Linked DNA regions of Schizosaccharomyces pombe. Changing the gene in region 1 together with any one later gene gives a genetic interaction. Each region holds a gene or a part of one and is shown on either strand. Other genes may lie near its edges.

Region 1 (11,116 bases):
CCATGATGAACAGGTAAAGGAGTAACAGATATGTCAATATCGTCGAGCTTAAATGGTTTGTCTGGAGAAAAGACGTGGAAGTCAAAAGTAGGCACGCTTCCACCTCCAGTAGCATTTTTGGCGTTAACCATATAGGGAAATGACCTTTCAATAACTTTATAAGTTCTTTCAGTTAGGTATATTTTGACAGAAGGTTGTAAAAAGCCCAAGGTCCATTCTACAATGCAACAAACGGTTAGTAAACTTCAACAGTCTAAAGTAATCAACAACGTCTAAAGTAAAAAAAAAATGGTTTATACCACGATAATCACATAACAATTAAAGACCTATGCGATACAATTTACCATTATCTTTAGCAATGTTCATCATAAATTCTTACCTCGTAAATCGTCCATTCCATTGATGGCATCTGCATGATCATGTGTCAAGATGACTGCATCAAGATATCGAATTTTGTGCTCCACAAAATGTTTCAATGCGCTAACATAAAAATGTTTTCCACAGTCGATTAAGATGTTTTTTGGACGATCTCCACTCCCATCATCCACCTGTAATAACACGCTTGTATTAAACCGGTTATTTTTACGACCTTCTGGTGTTAAACTTGCGAGGCAAGTACGGCAAGTTGGTTTTTCAAGTGTCAAACAACATACATTGGGAATACCACTAGAGCAACCAGTCCCCATGAAAAGCAGTTTACTTGTTCCCTTGGTCATCTTATCCGGTATAAAAGAGATTTCCGAATAATTCACCTTTCAATACCTCGTCAATAAGCACACGTTTCAAATGAACGACTAAATTTCCAAGAATTCACTACTTGGATTTCTTCCCAGTTGAAACAAAACTAGGATATATGAAAAAAAAATCAATTGGTAGTATAATATATATTGCCAATTGAATGAATGAAAAATTAATTCTAAAATATGGATAGCGAGTGTTTAAATTTGCAGAAACATATTTCAAGGCCTGCCGCGCATTAATAATCACTGAATAACGAATGATAAAAATCGCGTAATCTTTCTAATATCGAATTGTTTAGTTTTACAATATACGGTTTAGCGATTATTTATTTCCTCGCTGCGGTATAAAATCAATTGGTAAATGAAATTCATAAAATAATTAAATTTTAATTGTACGTTAAGACAACGTAAATGCAAATACAAAACATTGGTAAACCAATAATTAAACTTTCGAAATATTTAATTTAAAAACATCTTTTAAGAACTAGATGTGTTGCGACTACGAATGAATTTCTAAATACTACGAAATAAACAATTGGATATCAAATATTTTAATTAATTACTGAATTACACACTCATGAATTATTATAACAATTTTTGATATATTTGTAACTGCTGATTACTATACATTGCTTGTTGCAGTATTAGTAAAACAATATTGATTTTGAATAAACTTTGAAAGTAATGGAAAAAAGGAAAAAAAGACATTGTAAAGAAAAATTCCTCGTAAAAACAAAAGTTCACTTGCTATTTTCAAAGTATATATAATAGCAATCAATTCGTGAGATATCGAATTCATTTGTTATATCTAGACACTATAATTTAAATATTCTGGATTGTTTTAAAAATTATAGAAGCAATGAATCACTGTAAAATAAAAAAAAAATTGACTACGACAAAGTAAAATAAATTAATAATATATACATATATTAAATGAATATAAAATACAAATAAAAATAAAGAAAATAAAATAAAAAATCATTCATCGCTTGTAAAACTTTATCAAGCATAAGGTATTTGCGAAGCGAGTGTAGTATAATATACTTGCCATCATACAGTTTGAGCCGAGTATTTTAGCTGGTAGTTAATAGAAATCACCAAGAAAACCTAAATCCTCTGTTTATGACTTTTCAAGAACTACTATTCCCAAGATTAATGTCAAGAGAGTTCATATGTATTCCAAAATATGGTAGAGCGCGTTACTGAATTTCGAGCTGGTTGAGTTTAAATATTTGTTTATGTTATGGTGGAATCTTTGGTAAAGCTTCAAAATTATTGTACTAAAAAAACTAAAAAAGTGAACCTAGGATACTAGCTAGCAAAACTACTTTCTCAGAATTATGCAAATTATTTGGGGTTATTCATTATTATAGGCGCTAATCTGCCATGGACGGAGCTGTTAAAAAGAAACGAGAATTGAGTGTATTTAAAATGAACTACTTTCCATTAAATTGTTTCTTTGCGTAACCTCAGTTAAAAAAAAAAAGCTATTCAATGTTTATCGAATAACGTACAGTAAGACAATCCGCTACACCAACCATACTTGTTCAAATATGGATATTCCAACCTTTGACGATTATTTCATTTCGAGCAACGTTTACAGTATATCTCGAATCGTTTACCTTTGCCTAGAAGTTACCAATTGTGGAAAATAATTTTAAATATATGTTGTTCTGGTATCCTTAACTAGAAGGTAAGAGAGAAAAAGTGTGAAAGAGTGGAACAGTTTTGAGCTGTATATTGCATAACCAGTTAAAAAACAATCCCTCTATCTTTCTAAAGACTTTGTTTGGAATTAGCAAAAGCTGAAATTTAAAACATTCCCAAATGATCGTTTATAAACCAAAATTGTTACTGATTGTTTACAAATCTAATGTTGATTTAGTCCAACGAGTTATTTCATATCAGATTGATTGCTTGCGAAAATATTGCAAACTGGCGTATCTTACACAATCGAACCATGTTATAAAGTTCATTCACAATCAATAAAAAAAAAACTTCCGCGATTTAATAAGAAATCCTAATATAAGGGGGCCATATTCATGACTTCAACATGGGCATACCCAAATCATCAATTTATTTTTGTATACTATTATTCTGCATTATTTCATTCTATTTACAGTCTTCTAAAGATGGGCCTAAGGAACTAAAAGTCAAGTATGTATTTCTAAAAAAAGCCACAGCAAAGCAAAGAGGAGAGTCATCCTTGACAGATTCAGATTATTTTCCTAAGCAGCCCAATATGAACGCTACTTTGTTTATGCTTTGCCGTAATAGAGACATTAAGGACGCTCTTGTTTCCATACAAAGCGTCGAGGATCGGTTCAATCATCGCTATCATTACCCATGGACATTTATGAATGATGCCCCTTTTACTAAAGAATTTATAACAGCTACTTCAAAAATGGTGAGTGGGGATGCTACCTATGTCCAACTCAACAACGAAGAGTGGGGAATTCCTATAAACATCGATTTAAATCGTATGTTGAAATCAATTCGGGATATGACCGATGACAAAGTAATATATGGATTTTCACTGAGTTATCGGATCATGTGTCGCTTCAATTCAGGATTTTTTTATCGAAACAAAGCCCTTTCACATTATGATTATTACTGGCGCGTTGAACCCGGCGTTGAATATTCTTGCGATATACCTTAGTAAGTGCACAAGAAAAATTGACTATTTAACTCTTGTTTTTGTAATATGATAGAATTTTGTCACTAACCAATTCTTTAAGTGATCCTTTTCGAAAGTTGAGTGACGAGAATAAGGCGTATGGGTTTGTCATATCAATGACGGATTATTATGAAACCCTCCCTTCTTTATGGAACGTTACTCGAGATTTTATTCACCAAAACCCACAATATCTTGCACAAAATAACTCCTTGGATTTTATCGTTAATGACCACCAGGGGTTAAGTGGTGACTACAATCTCTGCCATTTTTGGAGTAATTTTGAAATTGCCAATTTAAATTTCTTTCGAAGTCCTGCATACACAGACTACTTTGCGCACTTAGATAAAAATTATGGATTTTTTTACGAGCGCTGGGGGGATGCTCCCGTACATTCACTGGCAGCATCGCTATTTCTGAACAAATCGCAAATACATTACTTTGAGGACTTTGGTTATTACCATTTACCCTGGTACCATTGCCCTACGGATGTACAGTCGCATGCGACAGCTAGATGTCTATGCGATCCGACTGGTACGATTGATTATTTACCCTTCTCTTGTGCTATTAAATGGTTAGAAAACATCAATAGTTAAAATACATATTACTTGTAATTCCCGAGATTACCTATTTTATTTTTGATATTTGTTTTAAAAACATATTTATTGTGGACATAAACAAAAGCTGATCGTTAACTAATGATGAAAACAAAAGACTGGGAATATCAAGTATTGACACAAATTTTTTAAGTTTTAGAACAATTTGCAAATATTGAAAAGTGTGGACCCTATAAAATAAGAAGGTAAAAAAAAAAACTGAAACGATTTTAAAAAGGAAAAATAATATAAAAAATCTAAGAATGAATTTAGGAAGCTATCAACAGGCATCTGACTTTAGTTGCCAAATTAGTAATTTCTTGTTCCTTGGAATCGTTCGTTCGTACACTTGCCAACAAACTTAATATCTGAAACAGTCGAGCGAACACCTCTCCTGCATTATCTAAAGCATTTTCAGCAGATTCGGCACGCCCAATACAGATTTGTATCCGATTTGCAATTGGCAAAACCATATAATCGCGAAATGTCATCAATGCAAGACGATGGACATTTAGTTTTTCCCTATTTGTGGAACAAAACTCATTTACTTCATAGGGTAATTGTGTTTTTTCTTGTTCATCAAACAATTTTGTCTTTATAGGTAAAAACACACCTTGAACGTATGGCAATACGGAAGAAAAGAAAAACAGCCATGTTTCTATGATACGATTCAAAAATAATTCTTCTGGAACAGGCGATAAACTGTCCGAAAGGCACTTGGTAGCCTTACGGAATAGTGTCTCCAAGTGTCCAACAAACTCATTCATCTTCGTATCACGGATAAGAGCTTGTAAATGTAATATAAGAATTCCATTCAAATCTTCAAGAGAATAGTGCAAAGCCTCACCCGAATATAAACTACAAACTTCGGATTCCACAATAAGCCAAGTTTCATCCGCGGATATGGGAACCAGGTTAAAGCGACCTTCTAAAGGAGAGCGAACTTTGCCCAATTTAGCAAATGCAAGAGAGGCTGCACCGAAGCCATTGATTATTTGATTTGTAACAAGTGATTGTGGGATGGAAGCGCCAAAAATTCCCCCAGCGTCTCTTCTTCCTCTTAAGAAATTTCGAGACCCGTTGAGCGTTTTCTGCAAAGCAGAAAGATCTAAACCATCTTTAGGCTTTTTATGCTTATGCGGAGAGAGGTTAAGCAGCGATAATTGAGTTTTCGTAGAAATACTTTGAACTTCGGCATTAACATTAGAAGGGCTAGTAGGCGTTAAAACGTTCAACTTTCCTGGGCGCTTGGAATGCTTACTCCAATGTGTTTCCTCAAAAACCGGATGACTGCTACTTTGACTAGATCTTCTGCTAAATGGCCATTGTCCATTAAACGGACTTTTAATGTTTTCAGTCGTGTCAGAGTCGCCAACGTTTGATTCCTTAGTAGTAACAGTCTCCAAGTCTTGGTTCTGCCCATTTTCCGACAACGAAATAGTGTTAGAAACACTTTCAATGCTAGTTTTAGTGTTTTTTGGAATCCAATTAATGGATGAGGCGCTCGAGGTAGATGAAAAAGATCCCCTCCCTACCATCTTTAGTAATATTTTTGGAAATGTACTGAGGGTATCCAAGAAATTTGCTTTTAGTTACGCGAAATGCGATTCTTCAAAATAAGCATGAGATGATATTCATTGTTCAATCATTATAAAATGATTAAACTTACTTAAAAAAATGATATTTTTTAGAAAGATAAAAAATTTTGTTTATTTTTGAATATGGTGGTATTTTGCTAAAGTATCGATGTGCGCCTTAAATTAAGATAAAATATAGAAACGAAAAATTGATTAAGAATTCCTTATAACGATATCGTTCTAATGTGAATTGAATGAATAGCATGTTGATATAATAATTGTATGCCAAAGAAAAAAATAGTTAATGCTAAAAGAAAACATGGAATGTTATTTGCTATATAACTTTTTAAAAGTTAGTAATAGAAAACGCAGTAAAAAAACATTGATTTTGTGAATTACTATCATTTGACAGAGTATTTACGGTACATATTACGACAATTCAGTTTAGTAGATGAAAAACAACAATATATATCTAATTTTCTAACAAAAAATGTAAACAAAATTGATTATGAAAAGAAAGGGAATAACGAAAACCAGTATTTACAATGTAAAGCTTCCAGCTAAGCTTTTCGTAACCCCCCTATCAAAAAATTTTTTGGTTGGCAAATGAGAGCAAGGTTAATATATGTTTTCGAGGAACAAGATTTCTCGTAATAATCACTTTTTATCGCACTATATAACCAATCCATTCAATGACCAAGTCTACGAAAACATACACTTTTACTTACTTAAAGCCTTCAAAGTGCTCTCCATGATATCCAAACCCTTAGCAATAACCTCATCTTTAACATTCAAACTAGGAAGGACACGGGTGTTGTTGTTTCCACCTGGTAAGAGTAAAAGACCTTGTTGACGAGCAAGCTCAATAAATTTAGCAGGGGGCTCGGTAAATTGCAAACCAAGAAGAAGACCACGACCAGCATATCCACGAATAAGATTAGGGTATTTGGCAACAAAGTCATCAAAACGTGAAGTAAGAGCCTTGTGTTGCTTTCTAACGTTTTGTAGAATCTTGGATGACCCTAATTCATTAACACAGAATGTGCCTACACGGCAAGCAACAGGATTACCTCCGAAAGTACTGCCATGTTCACCAGGGTGAATTTCAGCAGCGATCTTACTGGAGACAATGGTGGCGCCGATAGGTAGACCATTAGCCAAAGGTTTGGCAACTGTGATAATATCGGGACTAGCGACATCCTTAACGATACTATGGGCCCAAAGATCACCGCTGCGACCAAGTCCGCATTGAATTTCATCATAGATTAAAGAAGCACCAACCTTATCACAGGCCTTGCGCAAAGCAATCAAAAATTCAGGCTTGGCAGGACAAATACCACCTTCACCTTGAACGGGCTCGACAATAACAGCCGCAGTTTTGTCATTGACAAATTGCTCTATGGATGCAGGGTCATTATAGACGGCTTGGACGACATCAGGAAGTAATGGTTGGAAACCACGTTTATATTTGGGGTTCGCAGTGATACTAAGAGATCCCAAAGAACGGCCGTGGAAAGAGTTATTAAAGTAAACAATTTGACTCTTCCCTTCTCCATACTTCTCAAACGCTGCCTTACGAGCGAACTTCAAGGCTGTCTCATTGGCCTCAGTACCACAATTGGCAAAGAAAATTTTTGTGGGGCCAGCAATACCGCTATTTTTTGCCAAAGAATTATTAATGACATTAGATAGCTCAATGGCAGGCTCGTTGTAGAAAAGGTTGCTACTATGGACTAATTTGGAGCATTGATCAGCGGCAAGTCTAGCAACTTCAGGATGAGCATGACCCAAAGATGTAACAGCTACGCCAGAGGTGAAGTCAATGTATTTACGACCTTCCTTGTCAAACAAATAGGAGCCCTCACCTTTAGCAGCTACGACTGGATAGCGTGCATAAACTGATATAATATTCGCCCCTTCCTTCTTGATAATATTGCAACTGGTTGTATCAGGAGTTGGATCTTTGTGGGTAAGCTAAACTTGGTTAATAAGCAGTTTAAGAAATATTAAAATTAGTACTGTATGAGGCAGTATGAAAGCACAAATGAAGATTTATTTTGTTGGGTCAGTAAGAAGCATTCTCAACATCAATACTTGTCTAAAAACAAGAGCAAAGTACAGAATTCTCGAAAACAATCAGAATTAGATGATAGTCTAATTATTTGCCATCGTATGTTCAGTTGCACTTACAATGCATACTCTATCAACAAACTTGTACTTACGCTGACAAATCGACGAAAGGCGATTTGGGAACCAGACGAACGAACAGAGAGAAGTGATCGTCTTTGAAACATTGTAAAGCAGTTACGGGCTTATTAGGGGGGTTTGGTTCTGGTTATGTGTTTTTATACTGATATCGGAAGTTCATCGTAATCGTGACTGATTTAGCGAGATTTAAAACACATCAATATTTTCATGACAGTCGTCTAATCTATGTCGGTTATCTTTATCGAATTGATTTAGATTGATGAAAAATTAAGCCATGACATTGTCAAAAGAAATTCCATTCACAAGACCACCTTTCATGGCTGTACGCACACGAGATGCAAATCCTTGAGGGTCTTTATGCAAATCAGCCGCCGCCTCTAAAAGATATCGTTTGTTAGTATAGTTAAATAAATCTAGAAAATTTGTTAAGGAGCAAACCAGATTTCTTATATTAAAATTGCTTATCATAATCATTGTCCTCAGTAAAGAACCTTATAAATCCCATAATAAAGGATCGTAGAAAAAATGAGTATCAAATGATAGTTAAGAGATGAATAATCATTTCCTTGTAATGCAATAACAAGAAATAGTTCATTGCCCCCCAAAAAATTGTAATTAACCTACCTTTGTTGAGTGGATCTTCTGCGTTTGGTGACAAGAATAAAAATTGCAATCCAACCAAAATAGAATTCAAATTCAACACTGGATTCCAATCCTGACGCAGAATATTGAGGCATACGTTTCCCTCAATATCGATATTTGGGTGATAGATCTAACAGTAGGTCAGAACGAAAGGGTTCAAAACATGTTATAATGGTTATTTTCTTAAATGCAAAAAATATACCATAAGCTGCAACTCTAATTTAGAGCATGACTGACATACTTTGTTTAGACATTTAACCTTAGGAGGATCATGAGGATAATTATCGTCGATTTGGATTCGAAATTTAAATTTCCCACCCTTGTAATACCCTTTTCATGTTAATCAAAATAAAAAATAATAGTCTCAAAAAGTCTACACCAAATATTCTTTCATGCGGAATCACAAACTTACCTTCGTCAGGCCGGATTTCTAAATGTAGCACGTTCAATTTTATAGGATCTGGCCAGCTTGTAGACATCGTAGATGGGATTTCTAAATCTGTAACGTCTAAATTCATCGAAAATGGTTAGTTTCGAGTAAATCGCGAAAAGTTATCAACATGATGAGTCGCACCTTTTTGGATTCGGATTTGTGCTGGACTAATCCCTGACGCATTTTTCTCTTTTTGAGCTTCTTTCTTTTTTAATTCCCAAATTTTTCTCATGATTTACGCGATTCTTGTAATAGGCAGAAGGATGGAAAATGCGCTTACAATTTTGGGTATAAACAATACTCTCATACATCATTAAAAAATAGCGAAACATGTAGACACCTAAAGTGCTAATAATGTGGCATTTTATATTACCTTATTCAATTGCAATAACCAATTTTAATAAAGTCGTTACTCTACGCAAGCATTCAACAATATTACGTACTGGAACACTGCTATGTAAAGTTATATACAGACATCGCAGGATGTCGTAAATTTAGGGAATGGGAAACGGTTATCATAGTAATGAAAAATAGTTCTCCTAATTAGAGAAGCTGATTATATTGACTTTACTTACCGAATGATTTAATATATTCCTTTACTATTAATTCTAAAAAAACCCAGACTTACAACCTAGTCGTTAAATTGTAGGAACCGACTACAACTTCGACAGCTGTTTCAAAGCATTTGAAAAACTTACAAAGTGTTTAAGATTGAATCTTTTTTTTAACCTGTACTATATTTTTCTCTTGTAATTAGCTCTATTTTCCTTTTCACTATGCCATTTTTGAAACCTTCAAAGGTTTCACTTAAACGAATTCTCCAAGGAAATCCACCCAAACCAATTGGCTTAACTGAGTATGGTCATTTGCTGAGGCTCGTTGGTCTTCGTGAAGCAGACTCTAAGGAAGAGAATGAAAGAACAATTCTAAAACTCAACGAAGGAATCATTCAAATGCATGCAATTGAGAGACTTGATACATCCTTCATTAAGGAACCATTTCGTACTTTGAATCATGCTATTAATGCGGAATCTCTACCATCATTACCCGATCAAGAGCCGTGGAATGTATTTCAGAATGCTAAGAAAAGAGACGGGCAGTACTTTGCCGTTTATTCTAAGCTAAAAGATGATTCCTCTAATGAATCTCCAAACAAGCAATAAGGTTGGAAAATCTACGTTCTGTTAAAAAAGGAAGGAATGAAACAAATAGGGTATAAACCTTTACTAGAGCGGTGCCTTACATATAGAACATGTAACAAACTCTCGTATAATTATTCAAAAAATTGATATTATCAAAAACTAATAGTATTTTCCACATAGCTTATTTCTTTTTTGCAGCGGCGGCGGCAGCAGCAGCGGCTTGTTTTTGTTTCGCTTTTTTGCTAGAGCGATACATTATGTAGGCAGAGATCCCAAAAATAGCTACATTCATTCCAAGAGGGGTGTATTTTTGACTTAAGTGTCCGTAAAGTGCAAGTGCCTTTCCAAAGACCCAGTAAAAGGACTTCAAGGGCCCGTTAACAGAGAAAAAACCTTGCTCTTTTTTCATACTTTTGAACCCGTCTTTTTCATATAAGGCGATTGCCTTGTTCTTGGGAAGAACCTGAGGAGAAACACGGTAGAAATTTTGATTATCGATGAAATAATAAGAAGGAATCCGAGAAATGAGTAAGCGTACAGAAAGTTCGAGGCTACTGCTCAAGTAAACACGGGCAAAGTGGACATCCGGATATTTTTCATGAAAAGCATGCGAAAGGTCCTAAAATTAGTTAGTACAGATTCAATTAAATCCAAAGATGGTTTAATTTATTTCCGAGGCTCAAAATTCAATCTCATAACAAGAGCATTTGGACAACATTAAATGCAGTCCATTACTTACGTTAAAAAGTAGCTCTCCAAGAGTACAGTTAGCACAGCCTTCAGCAGTCAACTGCACAAACCATTTGCCAGATTCAATGACATGATCCCAGGTTTTATCTGAAAGTTCGACAACGGTGGAATTGTCAAAAGCGCAAACTGGGTCTGTGTTGTATTTTTCATACGGTACCTGTAAGACATTCATAGCTTCAATGGCAGCTGATTCATCTCCTTCACAACTATAAGCTGCCACGAAATGCAGAAGTTCAAATAGAAACACAAAAAACAAATTAATTTTCATTGAAGCTGAATAAGGTAATGAAAAATATTTTCTCTGCTGCTTTAGCAATAATAAACACGAGTTATGAGATGATTTTGGATCCAACT
Region 2 (11,116 bases), on another chromosome or scaffold:
TTGGAAGAAAGGAAGACGTATCATTGCCCAATGGAAGGATGTAAGAAATCTTTTACACGCTCTTCTGCTCTAAAGAAACACATATCTGTAATACACGAAGGTAATATGGCATTTCATTGTGATAGCTGTGGTACCAAATTTGGATATAAACATATGCTGCAACGACACCTGGAGCGCGGCACTTGTAAAAAAGCTCATAAACCATACATTAATGAATGTGGAATCAAACATGATGGAATAGAGGGGGTCGCAATTCACGACCAAAAAGAGAAAGAATTGAGTTCAAACTTAGTATCTGACGTGGCTAAAAAAATAATCAACGAAGTTACCGGGCATGGATATAAAGAAGCCCGAGAATACAGCTGTTCCTTTCCAGAATGCAATTACCGGTTCAAACGGCTATATGATATGCATAGACACCTTAATTCCCATCACTGAACGACGATCCTTACTTCAATTTATTCTAAAACGGAAAAGTTTAGCATAAATGTGACAAAGCCATGTTTTAGCTTCTCTTCATAATAAATTTATAAGCAACCTCTATCTTTTTTTTTGCTTTTGGTTTAGTCAATCTTTGATGTCAATACATTCTTTTAAAATATAAGAGACTCATACCTTTGAATCGTCGAATTGAATAATATAAAATTTTTTAATGCAGATTTAGAAATGCAACCTTTCATGCTTCAAATATTTTTGAATACAGGGGTTCTCTCACATTTCAAATTAAGGGTTGTTAATAAAATCTTGTAATTACAGTTAAGTAATCAATTCATATTATAAATCGTGAAGGATTTTGTCAATTGTATTCCAATATCGGAGCCGATTGACATATAGCAGAGCACTATCCCAATTTGAAGACTCCATTGCTTTCCGTATTTCATTAATTTCCTGAACTTTTCTACCCTGATTTTCTTGACTTAGCTGTAGGAGTTTCTCTGGCGAATCCCTTGAAGCGGAAATGTTTTCATGTACATCCATGATTTCCATCAAAAATTCAGGGTCACTGTTAGAAATATCTTCAGAAACTGGGTTAATTCCTTGAAGCTGGAGAATATATTCCGCTCGAGTCAATGGAGCTTTTAAGGTGTTATAAGCTTTCGATAATTCTGCAGAATCTCTTTGAGCTAAGGCAGCGTCTTTTCCCTGAGCAACATCAGGATGTAATGTTTTCATTTTTCTTAAATAGCTTGACTTTAATGCTCCCAAATCAATATCAAACGGACCTTTAGGAGGCGGATCCGAGATATCTCCTTCAAATTGTTTGTAAAAGTTTTTAGCCTCTGACTGGCATGATGAACTATGAAAATGATTATAATTAACAATTTTATTTAAAGGATAAAATTTGAAGCGAGCAAAAATCCAATGATTTCCAGTAATTTGTCGATTGAATAAACTCTTCTGTGCAAAAGAAATAAAGGGCCTAAAGCTCTGGTTTCCAGCTTGCTTTAACATTTATGATACAAAAAAAAAAGAAATTATGCAAATCCAAAGTGAATAATTAGAATTTCAAGTAGTTGAAAAAAAAAGGTATCAAGAGTTGACTTGTAACTGCTGTTGTTATTGCCAAATTTCAATAACTGCCACAACTCTTTAAATGTCATCTCAAACTTCAATATTACATAAGGAAATATAATCATTCAAAGTTAACATCAATTGTTTTTCGAAATCATCTCTTAAGAACAGTGAGATTAGTTCGGACATCTTACTAAAAAGCAGAGACCCTGGAAACCTCTGTTCCAAGCTAAATATTCCTAAAACCAAGGCAGTTCGGTGAATTTAACGTCTACATTTGAAAAATTTAAGGAAATTCTACCAATCTTTGTATTTTCAGTTTTTTTTCCTTTTTTTTTTTTTAAATATCAAATTTTGATATATCAATACATACTACAAAAGTATTATCTTTCAAAAAACTTATGAAAAACATTTTTAATATACTGCAAAAGGAATTACACATTTGGTTCTAATTGTTGTACTTTAGAGCAGCATGCCATTTTGTCAAGTGGTCGTTGGACCTCCGGGTTCTGGGAAATCAACTTACTGTTTCGGAATGTACCAATTATTATCTGCCATAGGAAGGAGTAGTATTATCGTCAATCTTGACCCAGCAAATGACTTTATCAAATACCCATGCGCAATTGATATTCGTAAAGTTCTCGATGTTGAGATGATCCAAAAAGACTATGATTTAGGACCAAATGGAGCACTTATTTATGCTATGGAAGCAATTGAATATCACGTTGAATGGTTGCTTAAGGAGCTAAAAAAGCATCGAGATTCATATGTGATATTTGATTGCCCTGGTCAAGTTGAGTTATTTACAAACCATAATTCCTTACAAAAAATAATCAAAACTTTGGAAAAGGAACTGGATTATAGACCTGTGTCCGTACAACTTGTAGATGCATATTGCTGCACGAATCCTTCTGCATATGTTAGTGCACTGCTTGTTTGCCTAAAGGGGATGCTTCAGCTGGACATGCCACATGTAAATATTTTGTCGAAGGCTGATTTGCTTTGTACGTATGGAACTTTACCAATGAAACTAGATTTTTTTACCGAAGTACAAGACCTTTCATATTTGGCGCCTTTGCTTGATAGAGATAAACGTCTTCAGCGCTATAGTGATTTAAACAAAGCTATTTGTGAACTTGTTGAAGATTTTAATCTTGTTTCTTTTGAAGTTGTTGCAGTAGAAAATAAAGCCAGTATGTTACGTGTTCTTCGAAAAATCGATCAAGCAGGTGGATATGCATATGGATCTACAGAAATTGGTGGTGATGCCGTTTGGGTGAATGCCGTTCGTCAAGGTGGAGACCCTCTTCAAGGTATTTCGCCTCAGGAAAGATGGATTGACAAGAAAGAGGAATATGACAAATATGAATGGGAATTAGAGCAAAAATCGACCATGGACGAAGATGAAAATGAAGGGTAATGACATTGAACTACTAAGGATTTGCAAATTGAATTATTTGAAAGTTGAAAGATTTTACTCAACCTTGCTTGTGTCATCTTCATCTTTTGCTACTGTGTTTTAGTTTTAAGACAATACTTTCAATCAACGGTAAACACACTTCGCAAAGTCCCATACAGTTAAATTTTGGTAAAAATTTAAAATATTGAGATAGCCTTTTTGTAAATCTCAAAAATTTAATGTATCACTTTTATAATAAACACTTTGTAAATTGCACCAAATAACATTTCTTTGGATTTAAGACTCTTTTCAAAGTAAGATAAATCTACAATGCATTTCGAAATGAAAAAGAAAAGCGGTCAACAGTACAGTAATTTACTCTTTCCCGGATGTTTTTTCCTTTCAATAATTAGTTACTTCGTAAAGTGATTGTCATACCTTTTTCTTTTTCTTTTTTTTGGATTTCTTTTTTTCAACGCGAATTGGCGATTTTGTTTCCAACACAATATCACCCATTGATCCTTGATTGGTAGAAAGTGGAGGGTCCAAAGAAATTAAGGAGTATACATTACTATTAGAAGGGTTTTCTTTGTTTTCAATATCAGCCAAACTTATTCCTTCGGGCACTTCGTCTTGGGCTACAACCATAGCTTGTAAACTAGGTGATGTAAAAATCTTTCTCCGTCTCTTATTTTTTGTAACTAAAATTATTAGCAAAAACAATATAATCAATAGCATTAACAAACCTTTTGTCACTTTATCAGCATTGAAAGCCTCATCTGACATCGACGTTTCAACATTTAAATTTTCAGGTTCTGAATTAGTAGTCGTAGTGTGCTGATTCGAAGAAAGGTAGAAAGGACTGCTCAAATCACGCTGTACAGGAACAGACTCTAAACTATTGAATTGCTTTTTAGAGAACGTGTCTATGCCAGAGGAAGGTACTTCTGTATCAAAATTAATTAACGAATCATCACTTTGGATGATGTTTTCAAGTAGCTCTTTTGGTACTTCAATTACGCCATTTATTGGACAGTTTAAATCCAAATTTTCATCAGGCATAACTTTTCTTTGAGCTTTTACAGCGACAGGATTTAAAGGTTCGCCAAAAAATAGCTTATACATAGTGTTTTGTACGATATATGGAGGCTTCTTTTGTAACTCAAGAACTTCCATAGTATCAGAGGTGTTAACAATGTCACTGACTTGATTAAACAAAATGTAAAATTCTGAGGCTCTTCTCTGAATTTCCATATCCTGAAAATTTAGGAATTGTTCAATGAATGAAACAATCTTCTCAACCCATAACTTTACTAAGCCAAACTTTTCTACTCCCCAAGTTGGTTCCTCTTCAAGACACCATTGGCAGAATATTTTAGTTATCGCCTGTAAAAGTAAGCGATGGGCAAGATTTGAACATTTTTTAAACGAAGGACGAGTCAAGGCATCAAGTATATCAAGATATTCCTCAATAAATTCAGCATATTCACCGAGGCACCATATGATGGCAGGTAAAATGTCGGTACGCTTTTCAGATACAGAACAATCAGTAGTTGATACATAGGAAGGATCCAAAATGGCCTGGGAAAATATATCTACAGAAAATGGGCGCAAGGCTTTAACTCTGACACATAAATCAATGATTTGGTTATTTAGTAATGTGCCGGTGTCAATACCTGGAATGTTGGCTAAATCAACATAAACCGTCAAAAGCCATTCAAAATCCGCAATATTCATGTATGTTGATTTAGAAGTCATTTCGATTATACGCGTCGCAGTTGAGTTTCTAATATCTTCAACTGCTGATTCATCCGACGAAACGATTAATTGGAGCATTAAAGTTTTAACGATAGTACGGATATTTTCTTTGTTAACAATTTCGTTAACAAGGTCTAAAGCTCGCAAACGAATTGAAGTGTCAGTATCGACCAGACATTTAAGAATGATGTCCAATTGAGCAGAAACAAGGGAAGGATGCGTATTTGCAAGCTTACGAAGACAAAGAAGAGCGATGTATTTTAAATTCTGATCAGTGTCCTCAAAAAAGCCGCGTAATTTTGAAGCACAAAGGCTTGCCAATTTGTCGCATTGAGAGTGACCCACAAGCATATTACCGGAAACTATTGTGTTGATACACTCATATAAAAGTGACATCGCATGTGTATTCTCAATAATGTCTGTCAAAGAAGGAATCAATTTCTTCACCAATCGAGGTTCATATGGAGTCAAGGAAGCAAATAATTTGATAAGCTTTATGAGCATCCAATTATTTGAGGAAGTTGTAAGAAGATGGAAAAGATCAGGAGCAAACTCGAGGTAATTTTTAGGAGCTCTTCTCGCTAATTCACAAATTACACTGACAGCAGCATTTACAACGGAAGTGTCAGGGTCGTCTAATCGTTCACGTAATTTTGGAATGCAAGCTGAAATAGCTTCAGGATACTGCAAGCATAGTCGATATAGGAGTAAAATTGTACGTTTCCTTACGTACGGTACGGAATGATTTAAAAGAATCAATACGTCTCGGTATAAATCACGCGCAAGGCCTAATGTAGAGAAGTGTGAGAGACCGTCAATGGCCAGAGTAATTTCTGGAACTTTAGAGCTCATTAGATCCTAATAAAACCGTCAGCTTTGTAAATACTTACAGATTAAAAAAAAACATACCTTCTTAAGCAAATTAGTCGTTAACATTAAAACGTCTGTATCTGGTTTAAAAGACTGGACAGCAGCTAGATACCCTTTCTGCTTCTGAAGAATTTTAGATGAAGACATTACCTCAACGATTTGGAAACTGGCCCAGCTAATATCCACCCCTAACATTTCCAGCTACTTTTGTTAGTAACTTTATAAATAAAGTTGAACGAACATATGCAAGCTTTAAGATTGCTTCTGATTTAAGATCTGCATCCTGCGATGTCGCTTCTTTTCGACATTCTAGTAAACAAGTCGCAATAAATGCTTCCTCATCATTTGCATGAGATCTTATCCCTTTAATTAGGTCAATTAGTGTCCTTTCAAACACCATGACAATTTATAATTCAACAGTCAGTTAAATATATCCCAAAGCCGGCTTTATGCAGTTTGCTCTCTTAAGACTATATCGCAATGTATCCTTGACGAAAAGGAATTATCGAGCTGAAGCAGCAATCGTTAATTAGTTATATCGCGTAGCAGTGAATTAGCTAACGCAGTTGAGAAAAATAAATTGCAATGAGTTTTATTAATAATTATTGTAATTTGATATAAAGTATGTCTCCAAAGATAATCAGTGTTATTTTAATAGTAATAAACAATTTTGTTTAACTATAATTGAATATGATGCTAAAAGAACTTACGTTTCATAGTTCAAATAGTCCTGTTCATTTTTATTAAAAAAAAAAAGATAACTTAATAACAACGAGTGTATATTCGTAGCACAAACGTATGTTCATTCTATAGTTATAGTTATAAATTAACATCGCATTTAATAGCCCAGTAACATCGCTGATATCAATGAAAAACAAAGACAATATGTTTTAATCCAATACCCAGAATGAGAAATGCGACCTTTCTTGCTATATTAATTTCTAATATTTACATAGGTTTGTATTTAAAAAAGTGGTTATAATTAATACAACAGTACAATGTTAAATTAAGTATAAGTTTCCTGTAATTCGGACTCTAAGTGTTTGCACAATCTAACCAGTGAAAACCAACTAATGCTTCGTGCTTTGCTTTAATAACAGATGAATAATTGAACAGTATTGAGCGAAGGGGTACTTCAGGATTAACCATACATCACTGTCACCAATAAGTAGTACAGTATTGCCGTTTATTCTGTTTAAACCTGACCTATCAGCATCATTCTCTAAAATCAATTTTTTCATGTTCATGAATCCTCTGTGGTGAGCCGCTTTAAAGCCATTTTAAGACAATCTTTAATTTCTGCGGCATCAACTTGTTCTCCGCCGCTGCTAGCTTCAGTAGTGCGATTGATATTACCAACTAGCGGTACATCCAAACCTAGTTTGTCAAGCTGCTCATGTTTGGTCAATGAAAGATTTAAAATATGACCTTCAACAGTATCTTCCACAATGTAGTAGTAAACAAACGTCGGACGAGTTTGCCCAATTCGATGAACGCGTGAAATTGCTTGCATTTCAATTCCACTATTTAGTAATGGTTCACCTGTCAATGTTAAAACTTGTTAATACAGATATCGACGTACACATGAAAACGTGAGTGGCATTTGTTAACGTCAAACCAGATCTAATGAAGATTAGAACAAATAATTAAACAGTTTAAACATACGATTGCGATCTTGCATGTAAAGTAAGTACTTGTAAGCTACGTTCTTCTTTAAACCTTTTTAGGCAAGTGTTCTTTGACTTTCCATCAAAACGTATGAAGACGATACCATTCGCTTCAAATGACTTGTGCAAAACATCCAAAACATCAAGCCATTGAGAGAATACAACAACTTTAGGATAAAGTTCGTTATGTTTCAAATACTAAAGTTAGATCCACTCTAAATACAAATGTTGCTTACCAAAAGATGTTTAGATATTGTGTCAATTTTTGATCCAAATGACTCCTTTAACTCCATATTAGAAATTTGCCTGTATGCTTCATCGTCGAGAATTTCAAGCCTTTCGTCTCGTTTGTTGAAACCAGTGACAAACTCTTGACGAGAGTATATATCCCTACTTTCGCCAATATAGTAAGCATTATTTTTGTTCAATTTGGTTTTGCACATTGGACACGACGAACTATGCTTCAACCACGCTTCCAAACAAAAACTACAGTACAAATGGCCTAACAAGTTAACTAGATAAACGATCCAACAAATACTTACCACAAGTTGTTATAAAACCTTGCTTAATTATATCACGACAAATTATACAAATCTGATGAGATTCAGCTTTAAGGACAATATGTTCATATAGGTTTGTTAAATACCTTCTCCTTGATTCGAAGTGAGCAATTTTACGTTGGGTATTGCTTTTTTCCTCTTCTAGCTCTCGCAGCAGATGGATATGTCCAGGTATATTCATTTCGGATATTTTTTGATTGACGAGTTCTGCTACGTTTGTTGTTTGACTTGCTTCGTCCTGCTTTTCTGAAATTTCTTTTTCCAAAATCACCGAAGCTTTAATTATAACAGAGTTCAAAAATTTTTGTTTTTTTTCGTCGTCTTTAACGTAATTGTTTAAACTGATATTTGAAACGGGAGGAGGCATCAAAGAGTCAGAAATTTCCTGCAGCTGTTTATAGTACTCAATCCTTGAATTATAAGTCAACTGAATTATACTCAATTCTTTTTCCAATTTTTGGCAAATTCTAGATTGCTCCTTTGCCATTGCATCAATCCGTTCATATTCTTCCATGTTTTTAGAAGTTTCAAAACTTGAGGTGGATCTATTTGATGCATCTAACAGTCTTGAAACTATATTTATTAATGATCCGTATTGATCTGCTTTTGGCCTTGCTTCTTCCCTTTCCTCAAAGTAAAGCAAATATTTTTTATCACGTTCTTCAGCCTGCTTGTCTAACGATTTCTCCGATTTTTTTATACTCTCTATAAGTTTGTATTTCTCAAGTTCTGTTTCATGAGACACAAAGGTATTAATAGTACCGCTGACTGCCGCTACTCGATCTGAAAGCATTTGACGGTAAACATCAATACAATAGGATATCTCTGATTGCGCATTCAATGATTCTTCGTATTCATCGCCGGTCGGATCCGATTCTTGATCCAGAAGTGGAAGTTTCATCAAATGGATAAGCCGATCTCTAAATTTTATAAGCACCTCCTTTTGATCATTCAACTCTTTATAAAGTCTATTATAGTCTTCAATTATACCATGTCCGGTTATGAGACCTTTTGCGTAAGATTTCTGTAATCGTGGTATTTTGACAAGTTTCTTTGGAATAAATTTTTCTGAAAACTCTTCAAGGTGCTTGCTGGTTTTGATAATCACATCACTCATAATCTTCCTTCTTAAATCCTGCGCGAGCAAATAAAATTCATTTTCAAACTTTTCGTTTTTTAAAGAAAAATAAGCGCTTGCTATAAAAAAGTATATTTTATGCAATAGAACATACCAAACACGCAGATGAATGAAATGATCCAAACCAAAATAATTAATCGGTAAATTTTTACCATGGTCCTCATATTTAGAGTTGTAAATAACATTTTCTAATTCTTTGACAGCGAGCTCGACAGGTATTCTGACTTCAGACCAAATAGCCAATGCTTTATTATAGTCTTTAATATGATCATATATTTGACCAACAATAATCTTATCGGAATAAAGCTTCCTGTTTAACGAGGAGAATGTAGAGTTTGTTTGTTCCAACATAAAAACTAATACATCATTAATGCTTTTCATGGGTCCACCTCCAAATGCGGATTTGTTACCAAATCCAACCTGCGGATGGCAACATGCCTGTCGTAAACGAACCAACCAACGCCTCATAGATTCTTCGTCACACAAATCCAAATTTCTGTCTTTGAAAAAGTGCAAAGACTTGGCCGCCTCTGATAATAAATCCTGGTAGTTCGTTTCTTCTACTACACTAAGTCTTGTAGTCATGCAGATTCGATGTTGAGGAGGTAATTTTAATTCTTCTTCAACGTCCTGTTTAGAATGTCTGCATACAAGGGAGCCAAACAGATCGCAAAATTCACGAACACGTTTCTTCTCTATAATTTGCATCCAAGCTTGTTTTTTGTATAAATACATAGGGGAGTAGCGAAGAAGAAATAAAAGGCCAAAAAGGTCATCAACTTCACTACGTACGGGAGTTCCACTTACAGTCCAACAATTGACACGAGGTATGCGATAAATCATTTGTGCGACATTACTCTGTGAAGTTTCAACCATCTGAGCTTCATCAACACAAATTCTCCACCAACATACATCAATCAATGGAGACTTTGGAGAAACATGTCGCTTTTCATGTCTTAAGGTCCTGGAATGAGATTCAGTGTACAATAGCTCAAACCGTAAATCAGAATAAGATGTTACCACTATATCACAATCCAAAAAAATTTTAGCTGATTTCAAACCATTGGATTTTCGGATTCCTTGGTAATGGAATACTTTCAATGATGGCACATGCAAATCTATCTCAGATAACCATTGATCGAGAATTGTAGAAGGCGTAATTATTAGGGTGGCCTTGGAATACTTTACATTTTTTCCGACGACCTGATCGAAAGTACAAGTATCAGTCAAAGAAATTGGCAACTGATGATGCAAAACTAATCCTAAGACTTCCAAAGTTTTTCCCATGCCCATTTCATCGGCTAAAATGCCTCCACGTATATCACCGGACGCAAGCAAATATGTTTTTTCTTTCGAAAATGTCATATAGCCGTAAACATGATTAACGTAAACCATTCGATCATCAAAAAGACTTTTGCAATGGTACCATAGAGGTGGTAAATCATTTGAGGTTAGGAATTTCTCTTCTTCTCTTCGTTTCATCCATTCTAAAACACGCATTTGAAATGGTAAAAGTTCCGAAGAAAGCCTTGGATCGCGTGATACATTGGCGAAACGTAGGCTTTTTGCCAATTTTCTTGCACAATCGTAAAATAGTGCAGTGTTAATATCTAAACAAGAATATTCCTCATCTTCAGACGGAAGGAACGTATAGTCTAGTAAAGCAGTGTATGAGGAAGATGATCCAGATGAAAGAATCGCATCTTGAGGGGCAAGAAAAGAGTCGAGTATGGAAATGCCAAACGACAAAATTAACTCGGATCCTTTTACAGTAACATAAGATGTGTATTTTATAATTTTCTTCAGCCGCCTATTATCCTCCCAAAGCTTACTCCAAATTTTGAGAGGTGCTTTTAAAGCAGAGTAAGTATCCTTATTCAAGTCGACAGAAAACAAAGGAATCAAGTTTTTGGCCAATGAAATTTTTCTTTGAGTAAAACTATATGCATGTAGTTTCTCAGATCCATCAACCCAAAAAACGACAGGATAAATAGTAGACTTTAGCCGATTTAACTCGTCCTCTGGTCCACGCCATATCTGCTGGTCTAGCTTGAGTTGGTGCTGGAATGCACGGTAGCAATTGGCGAAATCACTTTCCAAAAGGTTGTTTCTTTCATTTAGTAAGGAAGCCTCCTTCTCTATTTTTCGCCTCTTAGTTCGGTCCATAATGTTCCCTCTCTTAATTAAATACAGTCGTGTTTTGAACCAATAG

The links. Genes that interact genetically often act in the same process or in processes that back each other up.
Region 2: mutations in bit61 (region 1) and apl5 together harm fitness less than expected from each alone (positive genetic interaction), as found in Schizosaccharomyces pombe (one large-scale study listed by BioGRID).

What each region holds. Positions count from the first base shown.
Region 1 is NC_003421.2:1,607,017-1,618,132, forward strand, and holds bit61 (Protor homolog, Bit61), read right to left. Parts: upstream 5,748-11,116; 5' UTR 5,549-5,747; coding exon 4,280-5,548; 3' UTR 4,031-4,279; downstream 1-4,030. Other genes in the region: SPOM_SPCC777.06C (hydrolase), read right to left, coding at 1-217, 380-716; alpha-1,2-mannosyltransferase Omh3, read left to right, coding at 2,794-3,398, 3,479-4,010; arg1 (acetylornithine aminotransferase), read right to left, coding at 6,308-7,561, 7,810-7,881; NEDD8-conjugating enzyme Ubc12, read right to left, coding at 8,063-8,172, 8,420-8,567, 8,679-8,767, 8,850-8,945, 9,012-9,102; protein Gta3, read left to right, coding at 9,647-10,033; SPOM_SPCC777.12C (ER stress response thioredoxin family membrane disulfide oxidoreductase), read right to left, coding at 10,194-10,631, 10,752-11,030. UniProt on the Schizosaccharomyces pombe protein: Component of TORC2, which regulates multiple cellular processes to control cell growth in response to environmental signals. TORC2 is required for cell survival under various stress conditions.
Region 2 is NC_003424.3:4,659,210-4,670,325, reverse strand, and holds apl5 (AP-3 adaptor complex subunit Apl5), read right to left. Parts: upstream 5,993-11,116; 5' UTR 5,940-5,992; coding exon 5,781-5,939; exon of another isoform or gene 5,741-5,780; coding exon 5,579-5,740; exon of another isoform or gene 5,528-5,578; coding exon 3,658-5,527; intron 3,613-3,657; coding exon 3,350-3,612; intron 3,311-3,349; coding exon 3,287-3,310; 3' UTR 2,933-3,286; coding exon of another isoform or gene 1,985-2,932; 3' UTR 1,918-1,984; downstream 1-1,917. Other genes in the region: sfc2 (transcription factor TFIIIA), read left to right, coding at 1-438; DNAJ domain-containing protein Jac1, read right to left, coding at 775-1,452; GTPase Gpn2, read left to right, coding at 1,985-2,932; irc20 (ATP-dependent DNA helicase), read right to left, coding at 6,783-7,081, 7,122-7,162, 7,205-7,404, 7,443-7,708, 7,749-11,070. UniProt on the Schizosaccharomyces pombe protein: Part of the AP-3 complex, an adaptor-related complex which is not clathrin-associated. The complex is associated with the Golgi region as well as more peripheral structures.